Linked DNA regions of Cricetulus griseus. The protein of the gene in region 2 purifies or fractionates together with the protein of the main gene of each other region. This does not show direct contact. Links are inferred from orthologs where the notes say so. Each region holds a gene or a part of one and is shown on either strand. Other genes may lie near its edges.

Region 1 (7,166 bases), on a different chromosome or scaffold from region 2:
CACATTCAGCTACTTGCAAGTATTTCTTCAAAAAAACATCAGATTTCTCTCTCTCTTTTCTAGGACATTGCTTTAGGTTATTCGAAAGAAATGCTTCCTTGTCTCTAAGGTCTACCAGGAACACTGACTTGAAGAGGATCAACGGATTTTGCACCAAGTCACAGGAAAGTCCCAAAGCCCCAACCGGTAAGTGTTCACTGCTTAATGCATTTATGGAATATGTAGCCCCCATTCCCACCCCTTAGAATCATTTGGCATCAAAAGAACTTGAAGAGGTAGGCCAGTGTTCCTCCATCATGCTCAGTCTTGTAGAGTTGCCTTCCTTACTGGGCATGCATTGGTTGTGTTCACAGTGCACAATGGTGTCTGTGTATGCGCACCCACGCATGCGCACATACACACACCACAGGTGAACATCAGGTGTCCCCCTCAACCATTCTCCACTTTAGTTTTTGAGGTAGGATCTCTCACTGAATCTGAAGGTCACCCATTTGGCAAGACTGGCTGGCCAGCAAACACCTCTGCCTCCCCGGTGCTATCGTTCTAGGTGTACACATCACCCCTGGCTTTTTTTTTTTTGAAGTGGGTCCTGGAGATTAAACTGGTCTCCTTGTGCCTGACTGAGTCATTTCCCCAACCACATCAAGAGATTATGTCTGGGATCAGATATAATGAGGCTAAATTCTGAGTTTGGGCCCAACGTCAGCCATATCTGTTATATATACCTAAGGTCGAGCTGCCACTGCGGAAACCCACCAGCTGTAACCCACCAGCTTTGCTTGTCTGCAAGCTCCTTCTGGGGGTGCACCTGGGTTCTGCAGGCCATAGTGAATAGAAAGGACTTAAAACATGTTTATTCCTCTCAACCCGATGTTTCTCTTTTCAAGATTCACCATCTGTCCTAAGCAGTAATCACTATATATGGGAAAGGCGGGGAGTGTAAAGATGTTGTGTATATATATTATATATATATATTATATATATATTACACACACACATATATGTCAAATTACATGCAGCTGTTGGCGGTTTCTTATAAACACTGTAATTCTGTGGAATGTTCCATATCTATGAATATATATATATCCAGATGTCAGATTTTATACTGTATGTGAGCGTAAGCCTTATACATGCATATAAAGTGTGTGGTCATACCCACCCAAATTAAAGTATACTGGCCACTCTATAGTAGTGGCATTATGAATTATTTTAATTTTTTGCTTTTTCATATCTGTTCTTGGGACACAGAGGCAAGCAGATCTCTGTGAGCTCCAGGCCAGCCAGGCTTATATTTAAACAAGAACAAAAAGATGTATCCCAAATCCAGTGAATCCCTCAGCTTGGTGTTCAGTGTCTGATAATGTTAATGCAATCTAACCATACAGCCTTTTTCTTACTCTGCTGGAGGAGACGGGCACCCTCTTGTCTTTTCTCGGCACATCTTTCCTCCCTGTCTCTTCTTGTGGTATTCTTTCCACTTTATAGTGGTAGGGCTTCTATTTTGCCCTGTTCCTCATGGTGCTGGGGAATGTCACTTCAAAACAAGGCATTCTGGGGGCTGGAGAGATGGCTCAGAGGTTAGGAGCACTGGCTGTTCTTCCAAAGGCCCTGAGTTCAATTCCCAGCAACCACATGGTGGCTCACAACCCTCCATTATGAGATCTGGTGCCCTCTTCTGGTGTGCAGGTGTGCATGCAGATAAAGCACTTGCATGCATAAAATAAATAAATCCTTTTAAAAAAAGAAAGAAAGAAGCCATTCTGCCCACTCCTATTCACATCACGTGAAGCTCTGGATCAGCCTGAAGTCTCCTGGTGTTTCCATTAACTGAATAACTAAAGGACACAAACAGCATTTTTTTTTTCTGTTGCTTGCTTGATTTAAACATTAAAATCTCAAGCAAGACTGTTACCTGGTTTTCCCTACAGAATCTTACAGACACAGAGTGCCGCTTCACAAACCCACAGACTTCGAGAAGAAGATACTATTGTGGTCAGGGCGCTTCAAGAAGGAGGAAGAAATCCCGGAGACGATCTCGTGAGTGCTGGGAGGGTTGTACTCAGCCCGAGTTTCTCACTGGTCTCTGAAGGGGACCAGTGCATTTGAACTCTGTTTAAAACCTTTTGACCAGATTTAGAAACATTCTTCATTCTCTACATGTTTTCTCATGTTTGGCAATTACCCAGAACAGTCAGTGTTGGAAAGCTGTTAGGGTGTTACCTAGCGACTGATGGACCTGTTCGCTTCTGAAGCCAGCTGATGTTTAGTTACACATCCTCGCTCCAGGAACTTTAAGAGGTGAGGTCTCAGGCCTCAGCCGGGCAGTGGTGGTGCACACCGGTAGTCCCAGAACTCAGGAGCCAGAGGCAGGCAGATCTCTCTGAGTTCAAGGCATCTTGGACTACAGAATGAGTTCCAGGACAGCCAGACAACCCCTGTCCTGAAACTGCCTGCCACCCCCACCCCCCCAGAATCCCACAGCCCTAAAAAGAGGTGAGATCTCATGGGAGCTCCTCAGAGATCCTGGTCCTCCTCATCTTCAGCTCTTTGGCTTCCTTCGAGCTAAGTGTCCCCACCCTCTCAGCAGGATGTTCGACCTCCATAAGCCTCTCCCTTTTCATACACTGCTCACCTCCGATATCCCAGGTAACCAGGAAGAGGTTTCTTCCTCACCTGCCTCCTTAAGCCTCAGCTGGAATCTAGACTGTTTCAGAATTTCTAAGTAATATGTGCAGGTTCCTCTAAGCCAGGGTTTTACAGCCTTAGCTAGCACTGTTGACACTTTGGACTGGAATGTTTTGGGTTTTGTGAACTGCCGTGTGTACTGAAGGATGTTACCAACATCCCTGACGTCTGCCCTCTAGATGCCAGCAGTACTCTCTCCAAGAGTGACCCCAGGCATTGTCAAATGTCCCCTGGGGTCAAATCTATCTCAGGTGGAAGAAGTGTTCAGTCTTGTGCTAAGGACCCTGACTGACCAGAAGTGAAACTCTCTCCCCTGTGGGCATCCTCCTCCTCAGAGTAAGGGATGTTATGCAAGTTCCCTGTCAGCAAGAAACTATTCCTGGGCCTTCTGGCTCTGGGTTCAAGCAGCACATCTTTTCCAGGTAGAAAGGACGCATCTGCTTCTGCCCATAGAGCCCTGCTGCTCTTCCCGGTCACCCCCAGAATTATCTCAGCAGGAAAGCCTTAGTGCTCCTTAACCCTAGTCACAGTGCCCTCTTCTGAGAAATGGGAGTTTACAGGAAATAGCGGGGACACCCTGTTCTTGCTTTTGCCCTGGTTTCTTGATAATGTCCCATCAAAACCAAGATGATCTCTACCTGGAGGGGATGGGCTGTGATTTCTGCTGTTCGGAGTTTGCTGTGGCACACCTTGTCTCCCTTGTCATTGGTTCTAGATCTCTCAGACCCAAAGTACTACCTGGTGAGTCACTCTGGAAAGTTCTTCCCTAGGCTTGGGCAACTGATTGTCTATGCTGGTGGTTGTGAGCAGGTCCTGCTTCTCTTGCCTTTTATTATTATTGTTATCCGAGGAACTCACACATACATATAATGTGTTTTGACTTAATTCAGCCACTGATGTGTGCCCTTCCCTCCAATTTCTACATTTCCCTCCCAACTTCATGGTTTTTATTTTGCTTTTTTTTAAACTAACCTTGCTTCTTTTGAAATGGTTAGCAACTGTCATGGCCATGTTGAAATGTATTTTCCTTTATAAATGGTCTCCTAATGGTATGCCACTACGGGAGGATCACAAGACTTCAGTTGGAGACACCCGTGCACATAAAATCTTGTTGTATTAGTTACTTTTCTATTGCTGTAATAAAACACCATGACCAAGGCAACAACTTACAGAATAAAGAGTTTGCTCTGGGCTTGCAGTTCCAGAGGGTTAGGATCCATAATGGTGAGGACAGCAGGCAGCAGACATGAGACAGGAGCTGTGAGCTGAGAGGTCACATCTCAAACTGTAAGCAGGAAATAGAGAGGGTGAACTGGGAAAGGTGGGAAAGGCATGTGGCTTTTGAGACCTCAAAGCCTGCTCAACAGTTTCACACTTCCTCCAACAGGCCACACTCCCTAATCCTACCCAAACAGTGCCACTGGGAGCCAGGCTGATCCAAGGCTTTCTTAGAGGCCCTGAAGAAAGGACAGAAAGAAGGCTAGTTTTTTGTTCTTGCCCAGGGGCAGCATGGCACGGTCTAGTTCAGGCCCAGGGTCAGGGCCTCAAAGGACTTACAGTTTCAGGTTCCTGGGAACCTGGCTTTGGGCCTGAAGAAACTGGAATTATCAGTCCCAAGACCACTGTATGCTTGGTCTATGATACATTTGAGCCATCCCGTGTTCCTTTTTGTATAATTTTTCTTGATTAGCGTCCTCTGACTTCATCCTATTGTGTGACAGCTTTCTGCTGACTCTGTCCCATCCCCAATCCCCACCACCACCACCACGCACTGCAAACTGTCTATAGTATGCTGTACTTCTTAATAAACTTGCCTTGGCATAAGGCATCAGCTTCTGTAAGACCTCCTTGTCCCTACTTTTCTGGTTTCTTTATTTTCTTATCACCACCCTTCCCCTTAGGAACCTATCATTGAAAATCAGCCTGCTGGTCCAGGTCAACCAAGTATTCAAATGCCCTAGACTAAGGGAAAACATTCTCCTTGCAGCCACCACACAAGTTAAAATGGTTTGGGTTTTTTGTTTTTTGTTTGTTTGTTTGGTTGGTTTGGATTGTTTTTATGGCTAGTGAGTTCTCAGATGATTTTAGTTAAGCAGTTAAGCAGTTCACTATCTTTCGAAGCTGTTCCTGGTTCCTACCATCCTATGGCCCCAGTTTCAGTGCCTGGACTGGAGAGCTCGTCGTACAATCTGCTTTCCAAGTCCCAGTTCTTACATCACACTGTATATGTGACCTCCTCCATGGCAGCCTTTGAAAGCCATTGCTCTTGCTTATTGTAGATGGAAGTTTCTATCCCTCCAGGTCCTGCAGCCGTTTAGTCTCAAACACACAGAGGCCTATAGTAATTATAAACCATTTGGCTGATGGCTCAGGTTTCTGGCTAACTCTCTCTTAATTATTAACCCATAACTATTAATCTGTGTTTCTCCACATGATTTTAGCTTACTGGTGATTCCCGAGCCTCTTGCTCCCTAAGCAGATACATGGTGTCTCCTTTTCTCTGCCTATTGCCTTTCTCTATCCCTGTTTGGATTTTCCTCCTGGCTAAATCCTGCCTTCCCATTGCCCGAAACAGCTTTTTTCATCAACCAATAAGAGAAATATATATTCACAGCATACAGAAGGCCCTCCACCATCAGCTTATATTCAATATTAGATATGCTAAATATTGGGGGGGGGATAGAAAGCATTCCAATCCCTTTTATTTATTTATTTTTCTGAGACAGGGTTTTTCTGTGTAACAACCCTGGCTGTCCTGGGACTCACAGAGATCGCCTGCCTCTGCCTCCTGAGTTCTGTGATTAAAGGCGTGCACCACCACCACCTGGTGTCCAATCCCATTATTTAGAAATAGCCACTTCCTGTGCACACCTACTGGGGAGACCCACTTGGACTCCATGTGTCCTGTCTTGCCCTTCTAGGTACCACAATAGAACCATAACCCACTGCCTTCCTACGGAATCACAAAGATAATAGCCTTCTCTCATTTAATCTTATTACATTTATTCATTTAGTGGCTTGGGATGGTGCTTGTGACACAGCATCTGTGTAGAAATGAAACCGCTTACGGAAGTGTCTCTACCATATAGACCCTAAAAATTGAATTCAGGCCACTGGGCTTGGCTGCAAGCACCTTTACCTACTGGTCCTTCTTGCATACCCAGCCTTCTGTTTAGACTCTTGCACGTTATGCCCCTGTCAAGGCATGTAGGTCATCAGTCAGTGGAAAGGTTAGATAGGCTACATTCTGGGTACTTGCCAAAAAGCATAGGCTCCACTCCACTGTTGCTCAATTTTAGCAAAACCTTCATGACAAGATTAACATTTAAGGGACCATTGTTTAAGGGATTATTTCCCTGGCTCAGGCAACCTCAAATCTGTTTCTGATTTAAGACAGAGAAAAACACTAGATTAGAGGCTGGAAAAATACTCAGATATGCTTGCATTGTTTGAAATAAATCCTAAGGTTTGTTTTTCGACAAAAGTTTCTCTCCATAGCCCTGGCTGTCTTGGAACTTGCTATGTGGAACAGATTGGCCTTGAATTTACAATGATCCTCCTTCCTCTGCCTAGGTTACAGGCCTGAACTATTCCCAGCAAGCATACGTTTTGTTATGAAATGCACTTTTAGATGAGTTGATAAAAATGGAAAGACTTTGAATTAATAACATAGTTTCTAGTCCTCCCTCCCCCAATCAAAAATCAGAGTAATCAGGCTGCAGAGATGGCTCCAGTAGTTAAGGGCACTGGCTGTCCTTCCAGAGAATGGAGGTTCAGTTCCCAGAACCAACATGTGACTTATAACCTTCTGTATCATAGGAGATCCAAATCCTCTTCTGGCCCCTGACTCAGGCACTGCACATAGTGCGTAGACACACATTCAGGCAAAGCACCCATGTGCATAAAGTTTAAAATGGGGGAGACAACTAGATTACACAAAGAATATTAACTCTTCCATGTTTGTTTTCTTTCTGAACTATATTTTTGTTATAACTTGAGCTTATAACAGGACTTTTTGAGAGAAGAATGAGTTCCAGGCCAGCCTGGGCTATAAAGTAAGAAAGACCTTGTCTCCAAAAACAAAAACCAAAGACTTGTGAACTTGACCCACAATCCCCCAAAGTGCTATGAGGTCCCTAGGTCCTAGCTGCTTTGTGTTTACAAACATCACTGAACTTTTAACTTGTGATGCCCAGAACATTTCATCCTGCTGCAGGTTCAGAAAGAAAAAGGTTAATCATGTTTTCTTGTTCCATCACTAGGTTTGAGATGCTTGACGCTGCAAAGAACAAGATCCGGGTGAAGGTCAGCTATTTAATGATTGCCTTGACAGTGGCAGGATGCATCTATATGGTTATTGAGGGCAAGAAGGTAAGAGCCGGCTGCTCTCTGTCTCTGTATGCTGTCCCCAAAGACAGGAAAGCCATGATTGGCTCCTCCAGTTGGTCTGAGAAGGGGTAGCCACTTTGTATCACTTTCCT
Region 2 (7,868 bases):
TGGGATGTGACAGTGCAGCCCACACCAATGTCCTTGCCTCAGTCAACCGGTGGACTTCACAGTGGATTCACAGTGAACCTTATGCCCTCTGGTTTTGTCCATGTCCTTCTCTTTCTTTCCCTTTATCCCTTCCTTTCTCTAAGTCTATAACACCATGGGACAATTGGCAAAACTGCTACCCATGTGGAACAAGCTGAAGAGGAGTGGCAAAGCCTCCCTTGGGAGGTATGAATGTTTATGAAAGGTTGACCAGTGTGAAAACTAGCAACTGCACCCTCCTCTTCCCAGATGTCTATAGCTTGAGACCACTGTCTACAGACACCTCCTGCCAAGACTGGCTAATCCCTGCCCCTATGCTGTGCCTAATAACCACGCTGAGATTACAGGTTTGCAGTGGTAGCAATTAGGGAAACCCACCTGGTCCCAGCTTCACTGTACATGTGTTCTTTCTTTATTCCTTCACTGCCCCTAGCCAGAGTTCTTGGACCAAAGCTGCAATGGACATGGCAGATATACATACTTTTTGCATGTGGGTGCATGTACAAATGTGTACACATGCATGTTTCTTCATGGATGGTTCTCTAATTTACTGAACCAGAGTCTCTTGCTAAATCCAGAGCTTGCCAATTTAATCTAGTTTAACTAGCTATCTTGTCCCAGGGATCCCATGTCTGCCTCCTGAGTGATGGGGTTATAGGTGAACTGCCCATCTTTTATGTGGTTCTAGAGATCCGAAGCCTTGATACTAACATTTACACAGCAAGGACTTTATTCAGCCATTTTCCCAGTTCAAGACCTCCATGCAAGTGGGGCCTGGTGGTACGGCCTATAATTTCAGCTCCTTGGGAGGCTGAAGCAGGAAGACGGCAAGCTCAAGGATTGCCTTGGCAACTTAGTGAGAGACCTGGTTTTGTAGGGTTAAAAAAGGGGTGGTAGAGGGCTGGTCTAAACATTAGTTCAATTCCCAGCAATATACTGACAAAACCAAGCCCTTCCTTCTTAGAAAGGTTCTGTCTCCATAGTTAGGGGAGGGGGCACCCGGACAGGCATTTTGGGATACCTACTCATTCTGTTAGATTATACTCTATTTGATCATGTATATTTCTTTTTTTCTTTCTTTCTTTTTTCTTTTTTTTTTTTTTTTCCTGAGACAGGGTTTTTCTGTGGCTTTGGAGGCTGTCCTGGAACTACCTCTTGTGGACCAGGCTAGTCTCGAACTGACAGAGATCCGCACGCCTCTGCCTCCCGAGTGCTGGGACTAAAGGTGTGCGACACCACCGCCTGGCTTGTTCATGTATATTTTTATATGCCTATCCATGCTTCATTCAACCTTAGCGTAAAAATCAATAATCTAAAAAAAAAATCAATAATATATCTTGGGTGTTTGAGTTCTTAAGTTTGGTGGATTGTGTATCATATAAATCCATGATAAATGAGTTATATATTTTTCTTGCTAACCTGCCTTTTATATAGGAGTGTCAGCTGTGTCTTTAATATTGGGAAGGAATCAACTTCTTTTCCACCCCTGCAATTTTTTGCTCAGGCACATGTCTATCTCCAGTGACCATTAAGCACTGCCCACACACTGTACATTTACAGAGTAAAGCCTCAGACTTGTGTCAGAGAAAATGATGTCTTTGGAGATCAAAAATGGCTACATGTTAATTCATAATATGAGTAAGTCCTGCTTTTGGTATGCAAAGGTATCAAACAGCGAGGGCAGGATATCTCCTATTGGCCAGGTCCATTGCAGACCAGCCTGCCTGAGCTTGAATGAAGGGATGAATCAGGTGTTAGAGCCTGATCTCTTAGACACAAAGACTCTTCACATTTAACTCTTTACAACACAGCCTCAGCCATGACCAGGCAAGATTGCTAGTAAACTTGGTTCTGGATTGGCAAAGGCCATCTAGCCATCTTTTCCCAGTTAGGAGGAGAATGAAAACTTGAGTAGAGGAAGAGTTCAGAGATAATTGGGTTGTGAGCATGTACGTGTATGGAGTCTTTGTTGTCAGTCCAACTGAATGCCTATTAAACACTGTTAGAGATGGCTCAGTGGTTAAGAGCCGTGGCTGCTCTTCAAGAGGACCCAGGTTCTATTCCCAGCACCCACATGGCAGCTCACACCTGTCTCTAACTCCAGTTCCAGGGGATCTGGTATCCTTATACCAATGCACATAAAGTTAAATAAGGTATTTAAAAAAAACCAACACTGTTAAACATTACCTTAGAGATGAGGAAACTGAGGTTCACGGCCTAAATTACCTGAGTTTTATTGAATTGAAGCCTCAGTGGTGTCCATTTCTAATCTTCTTTATAGGTGGTGTATGTTTGTGTACAGGTATTCACTCTTATGCCTGAGACCAGAGGATTTTGGATAGTCTCTATTGCTCTTCACCTTACTCCCTTGAGCCAGAATCTGTTACTGAACTTAGAGCATACTGTTTGCTGGCCAGGTGGGCAAAGAACCCCAGCGACCCTCTTGTTGCTCTTTCTGGGGCTACTATTGGCTTTTAATGTGGGGACTGGGTATTGGAACTCAGGTCCTCCTGCTTGCCCAGCAAGAGTTCTTACCCACTGAGCCCTCTCCGAAGGCCCTGTTTCTATCTCTATTAGCTTGAGCATTTCTTCTTTTTTTCCCCCTATTTGCCTCGTGCTGTAGCTTAGCCTCAAACTGGAGGCAATCTCCTGTGCTTCCCATGAACCAGGGCTGGCAGCTTCCTCATTCTTCTTACACAGAATTTGAGAACAGCATTCTAATGACTGGTCAACACGAACCCTACAGTTCTTCCCGTATCTTTCTGGGCCTCTCAACCAGGGAAAGCTTATCTCCCTACTGGAGCATGGCTTCTGCACGAGTGTGAAGCCATCCACATGAGTGGGAAGGAGGCTTTAGGAGCACAAGCCCGAGGCTCTCAGAGTAGAGCCCACTGAAGGTGGCTCAAGTTTGTTCCTCTGGGAGCCCAGCCCCACCTCAGGATGACATCGCAGCGGGCGGTGAACCGATGTAAGAAGGGGATGGAGGCTGCAGATGGCGCAGCGAACCTCACTTCTACTTGCACCTCCCGGGCTCTTAAGCCGCTGTGGAGGCAGTGACTGCCCGCACGTTCCCTTGCTGGGTCACTCAGCACGCAGGCGGAGGGGTGCACGTGACCCCGCGGGCCGCATCGCCCCGCCCGTCGTGACGCGCGTGGCCTCTCCCTTCCTGGCCGCGCGGGTGCCGTTGCACCGCCTCCGCCGTTCCCCGGCCCTCGCTTCTGGGGCTGCCCCGTACACTGCCTGACCCGTGGCCCTCCAGCTCCTTCTCGCCCCGTCCCCACTGGACGGTCCGAGACAGCTCACCCCGGGGGATCACCGTGCCCTCGACCCGCGTGGCCACTCCGGAGTAGGTGCGAGTGGGTGGCGGGCGGCGCGGCAAGGACAGGCGCAGCGGACAGCCCGGGCGGCCGCGGCGGGGTCCTGGCTGGGGGAGGCCAGGCTTGCGGCGGGGCGCAACGGTGTCTCCTTCACTTCGCCCTCCAGCCGCGGTGGCTGCAGCGCAGTCTCTGGGTAGCGGAGCGGCCTCGGCTGGGAGCGGAGCGGCGGCGGCGGCGGCAACGCCCCTCAGGACACCCGCAGGTACTACGTCGCTGGCCTCATGCCGATCCCAGGGGCCTAGGCCGGGCCGGCAGCCACAGCGGACTCGGGGCGGCTCTGCTCCCCTAAGATGGCCGCAGCGGCCCCGGCCCCCTTTCCCTTCTGTCCGAGATCCCCCTTGGGCCCTTTGACCGTCCCCTGATCGCACTTCTTGTCCCTTCTACAGATCTCCTTTTCCCCGAGGCTTCGCTATGGCGGACTGTTGTGTACCGATATGCCCACGGCGTAAGTAGATCATTAGAAGTGTCTTCGGCGGGGCTGCTGTGCCCTTCTTTGGAAAACCATAGCTGGTCCCGCCTCGATTCACATGCTTGCAAGGACTTGGAAAGTTCTCTCCACTTTGTGCGGCCACTAAAGCGTACCGCCGCCTCTGCTGACCGACGTGGGTGCTGGGCTGTTGGGTTGCAGATCGGGGGCTCGCGCCTGGGGCGTTGGTCCTTGGCGGTACCCACCCTCTGCTTTTGGATGTGTCGTTTTACCAACCCGAAAGCAAAACAAAAACTACTAGTTGTTGAATTTCACCCTGGAGGATTAGATGGGCCACTTTGCAAGAGGAAGTAGTTCTCCCTCTGCCCGTAGAGATGGAGTGCACTACAAGGTCATTACACGTGTTCCTAAGGGCGTGGATGTGCTCTTTAGAATGAATGAGCTGCGGCCGGAGCTCAGATTCCTTGCCCTTAAGCCTCACTGCATTGGCGGAGTACTTGGGAGTCGTATTAGTGTGTTTAAAGTGCCATTTGATATTTAGTTGCTGTAGACACTTGACTGAAACATAGATGGTTGTATTTCTCTCCCCTATGTCTCAAGATGTCAGTTCCCAGAGTGTTAAGTGTTGGTTTTGTTCTTGGAAGATATACCAGGTGCTTTGCTAGGGAAAATGCCTAACATTAAATTTTGGTTTTTGTCTTAGTTAAATCAGTCAGTCCACTTGAATTCTGGCAAGTGTGTGTACACTTGTACTAGTGTTTCGAGCAAGGCTGTAGACTTTTAAGTTTAGGAATTAGATAGGCTTGCCCTACCCTATAAAACCAAACTGGGGAACTGTCGCAGGTTTATATTACCACATAGCTATTTAGAAAGTAAACTGTTGTTACAGATGGCTGTTAAGAGTAAAGTGGTATAGTTCTCATTGGTCTGCTTGAATGTAAATATTAGCAGTAGGTCATAGTCCAGTCATGTTAACTATAGAATGTTTCTTTTTACTAGCAATGTGTATCCCTCCATGCTATGCTGACCTTGGCAAAGCTGCCAGAGATATTTTCAACAAAGGATTTGGTAAGGACTTTTCTTTTAATTTTAGCTTAAAAGAGAAAATGTATGCTTGCATCCCTTTAGGACATTGACTTGCTTTTCCAGACTGAATATCCTGCTGGTTTAATGTTTCTGCCAGATGCATTTTATGTTAGACTGCTCCACTGTACCCCAGCTTTTGTTCAGGCCCAAGTTTATGAATTCTAACCTTTTAAGGGAAAAGCTTGTACTTTTGGGTTCTGGGTTTTTTGTTTTTGCTTTTTTTTTTTGTTTGTTTGTTTTTTCCAGATAGGGTTTCTCTATGTAACAGTCCTGACTGTCCTGGACCTCAATTTATAGACCAGGCTGGCCTCGAACTCACTGAGATCTGCCTCCCAAGTGCTGGGATTAAAGGTGTGCACTATCCTGCAAGAAGCTTGTACTTTTATTCTCTTTGGTGACTGAGCAGGCCTTGGTTGAGTAGAGCTGCCCTGAATTACTCTTTTAGTTTTGTGTCTGTGGCTCCTGGTGGAACTGAAACCTTAAGGGGTTGTGGGCTTTTTGAGTGAGTTTGAGTTTTCTTGAAGGTTGTGTTGCACATACCCCTTCTCCCACTCCTTTGGGATAAATGTCCTTAAGGTGTAGTCATCAACAATAGGCTATTCTGCGGAAGTGATTTTTTTTTTTCCTTCCCAGACAGGACTTTTTGGACCCTGTCCTGGAACTTGGCTCTGTAGACCAGGCTGGCCTCAAATTCACAGAGATCCACCTGTCTCTACCTCCCCTGTGCTGGGATTAAAGACATTGTCGATTTTTCTAGTCTCTAACATTTAAAAAGTGTCTTGGAAAGGGTGTGTCAGGAAGTGGAGCCAATTTCCTGCCAGCATGCTGGGCAGCTGACTGCTTTTAAGTGCCTTGCAGGTGCTAGGCATCGGTACATTTTTGTTCCTCTGGACATTTGAATTATTTTAAATGTAACATGAATAATGGGTATATATCTGCAGAATAGTCATGTCTTTGCTCTCTATTCTTTGAAGGCTTTGGGTTGGTAAAGCTGGATGTGAAAACAAAGTCATGCAGCGGTGTGGTAAGTGTCTAATAAGTTCTTGTAACTCTTTTAATTTTATTTTAAGATTTATTTATTTAATGTATAGAATGTTCTGTCTTCATGTATGCCTACAAGCCAGAAGAGGGCATTGGGTCTCATTATGGTTGTGAGCCACCATGTATTTGCTGGGGGTTTGAACCAGGGTCCTCTGGAAGAGTAGTCAATGCTCTTAACCTCTGAGCCATCTCTCCAGCCCCTAATTTCTTAGCCTATAAATGTCTATAGTTGTTTTGCCTTAAGGAGGCAGAAGTTAATTTGTTTTGAGTGATTTGCATGTAATCTGATTTATTAGCTTTGGATATTTCTGCTTTTCATGTAGTTTTGTTATATTTGTGTGTGTGTGTGTGTGTGTGTGTGTGTGTGTGTGTTACTATGATTGTACAAAGAAGTGGGGAAAGACATTGGTTATTTGGGACTATTTACTCAGGTAGATTACAAGCTTGAAGGCCAGAAGCTTATAATCCACGCCCTTGTAACTTTCTCCTAATACCTGCCAAGGTATTCTGGGCTTAATAGTAACTTGTTTATTTGACCATACTGGTCATTTAATATAATGGCTATATTCTAACAGTCATCCATGGAGATGTCTACATACCTCTGTCCTGACCTGAATATTGCTTATGCGTTTATCCTCCCCAGTTGTTGAAACAAGGGATAAAGTAAAATATTGTATGCTTTTTTTTCTTTCTCTAATAATTTTTGTTTTGAGATTCAGAGATGGTTGTATTGTGTACATGCTAAACTATGATTATTGGGCACTGTGATAAATGCATGTTCTGAATATAACTAGTATTAAAGTTGTTCCTGGTAGGGATTCTTAATGGTCAGACCTGTTGCATTTATGGGGTTTTATATTGTTCTGTCCTGTGGTTTCCTTGGTTTGCAAAGAAGCTAAATATTTGGTGATGGTTGACTTGGCTGGGTTAAGAGTTTACAGAATATTAGTTAGCTGATTGCTGGAGATTGAAACTAGAGCCTTGTAGTTCTACTACTAATCTCTATTTTCATCCTACCAGGTTTTAAATATGTTTGTGCAGGTGTGTTACATTAAAATAAGTACCCCATCCTTGTTTTTAAAAAGCTTACTTTTAGACTGGGAGTATAACTTAGTGGTAAAAGGCTTACCCAGTTGTGTATGAGGTCCAGTGCGGAAAACAAACAAAACACCCCCTTCTAGTTACAAAGACAAACTTTAAGCTGAGAACAATTGGAGAACTGTATTGAGCACTAGATTTATAGATTTATAAGCAAAACATCCTTTTTTTCCTCCTGCCTCCCTAGTGCTGGGATTAACAGTGTGCACCACTACCACCACCACCACCACCACCACCACCACCACCACCACCACCCAGTGGCCCTTTTCTTTCTTGAATTGCAGAGATGTTCAGGCTACCCCAAAATGTAGAAGAAGTTCATAGTGATGGAGTGAATTGCTTTATTGTTGGTTTCATCTGTTCCAGTTTGACCTACAGACTAATACTGACCTTGTTTCTTGGGTATTTGTTGGCATTCATTAGACTAGCCCTTGATCTCAGGGACTGATGGGTGGTAGTAGCTGGAGCTTGGCAGTTTCTGATTTTAACTCTGCAGGTATCATAACTTCTGATAAACTTAAAACAAAATTTACATCAATTTTAGACATGGCTTTCCAGTGACTAGGTATGGAGACACTGATACAGAAACCCTAGGTCAGAACTCTTGACAGGCTTCTGGAAGGTTACATTTTATCTTGGGACACGTCCCTCACATGCAGTGAGTGCTTCATAAAGACAGATCCTCTGTGCTCCCTTTTTACCACAAGGGATTGGCAGATATATTCTATACAAATCCATGATTAAAACTTTTCTTAAAGATTTATTTTTAATTAAAGATGTTTTTATTTCACATGTATGAG

Evidence for each region.
Region 1: the proteins of Vdac2 (region 2) and protein FAM162A fractionate together in Homo sapiens (co-fractionation; 3 studies listed by BioGRID and IntAct, with this or other methods). This does not show direct contact. The link is inferred for Cricetulus griseus from reciprocal best matches to the Homo sapiens genes VDAC2 and FAM162A.

Annotation. Positions count from the first base shown.
Region 1 is NC_048597.1:53,616,597-53,623,762, forward strand, and holds part of protein FAM162A, read left to right. Parts: intron 1-63; coding exon 64-186; intron 187-1,928; coding exon 1,929-2,037; intron 2,038-6,947; coding exon 6,948-7,056; intron 7,057-7,166. UniProt on the Homo sapiens protein: Proposed to be involved in regulation of apoptosis; the exact mechanism may differ between cell types/tissues.
Region 2 is NW_023276807.1:199,147,146-199,155,013, reverse strand, and holds the start of Vdac2 (voltage-dependent anion-selective channel protein 2), read left to right. Parts: upstream 1-3,464; 5' UTR 3,465-3,618; intron 3,619-3,802; 5' UTR 3,803-3,827; coding exon 3,828-3,861; intron 3,862-4,842; coding exon 4,843-4,911; intron 4,912-5,903; coding exon 5,904-5,953; intron 5,954-7,868. UniProt on the Homo sapiens protein: Non-selective voltage-gated ion channel that mediates the transport of anions and cations through the mitochondrion outer membrane and plasma membrane.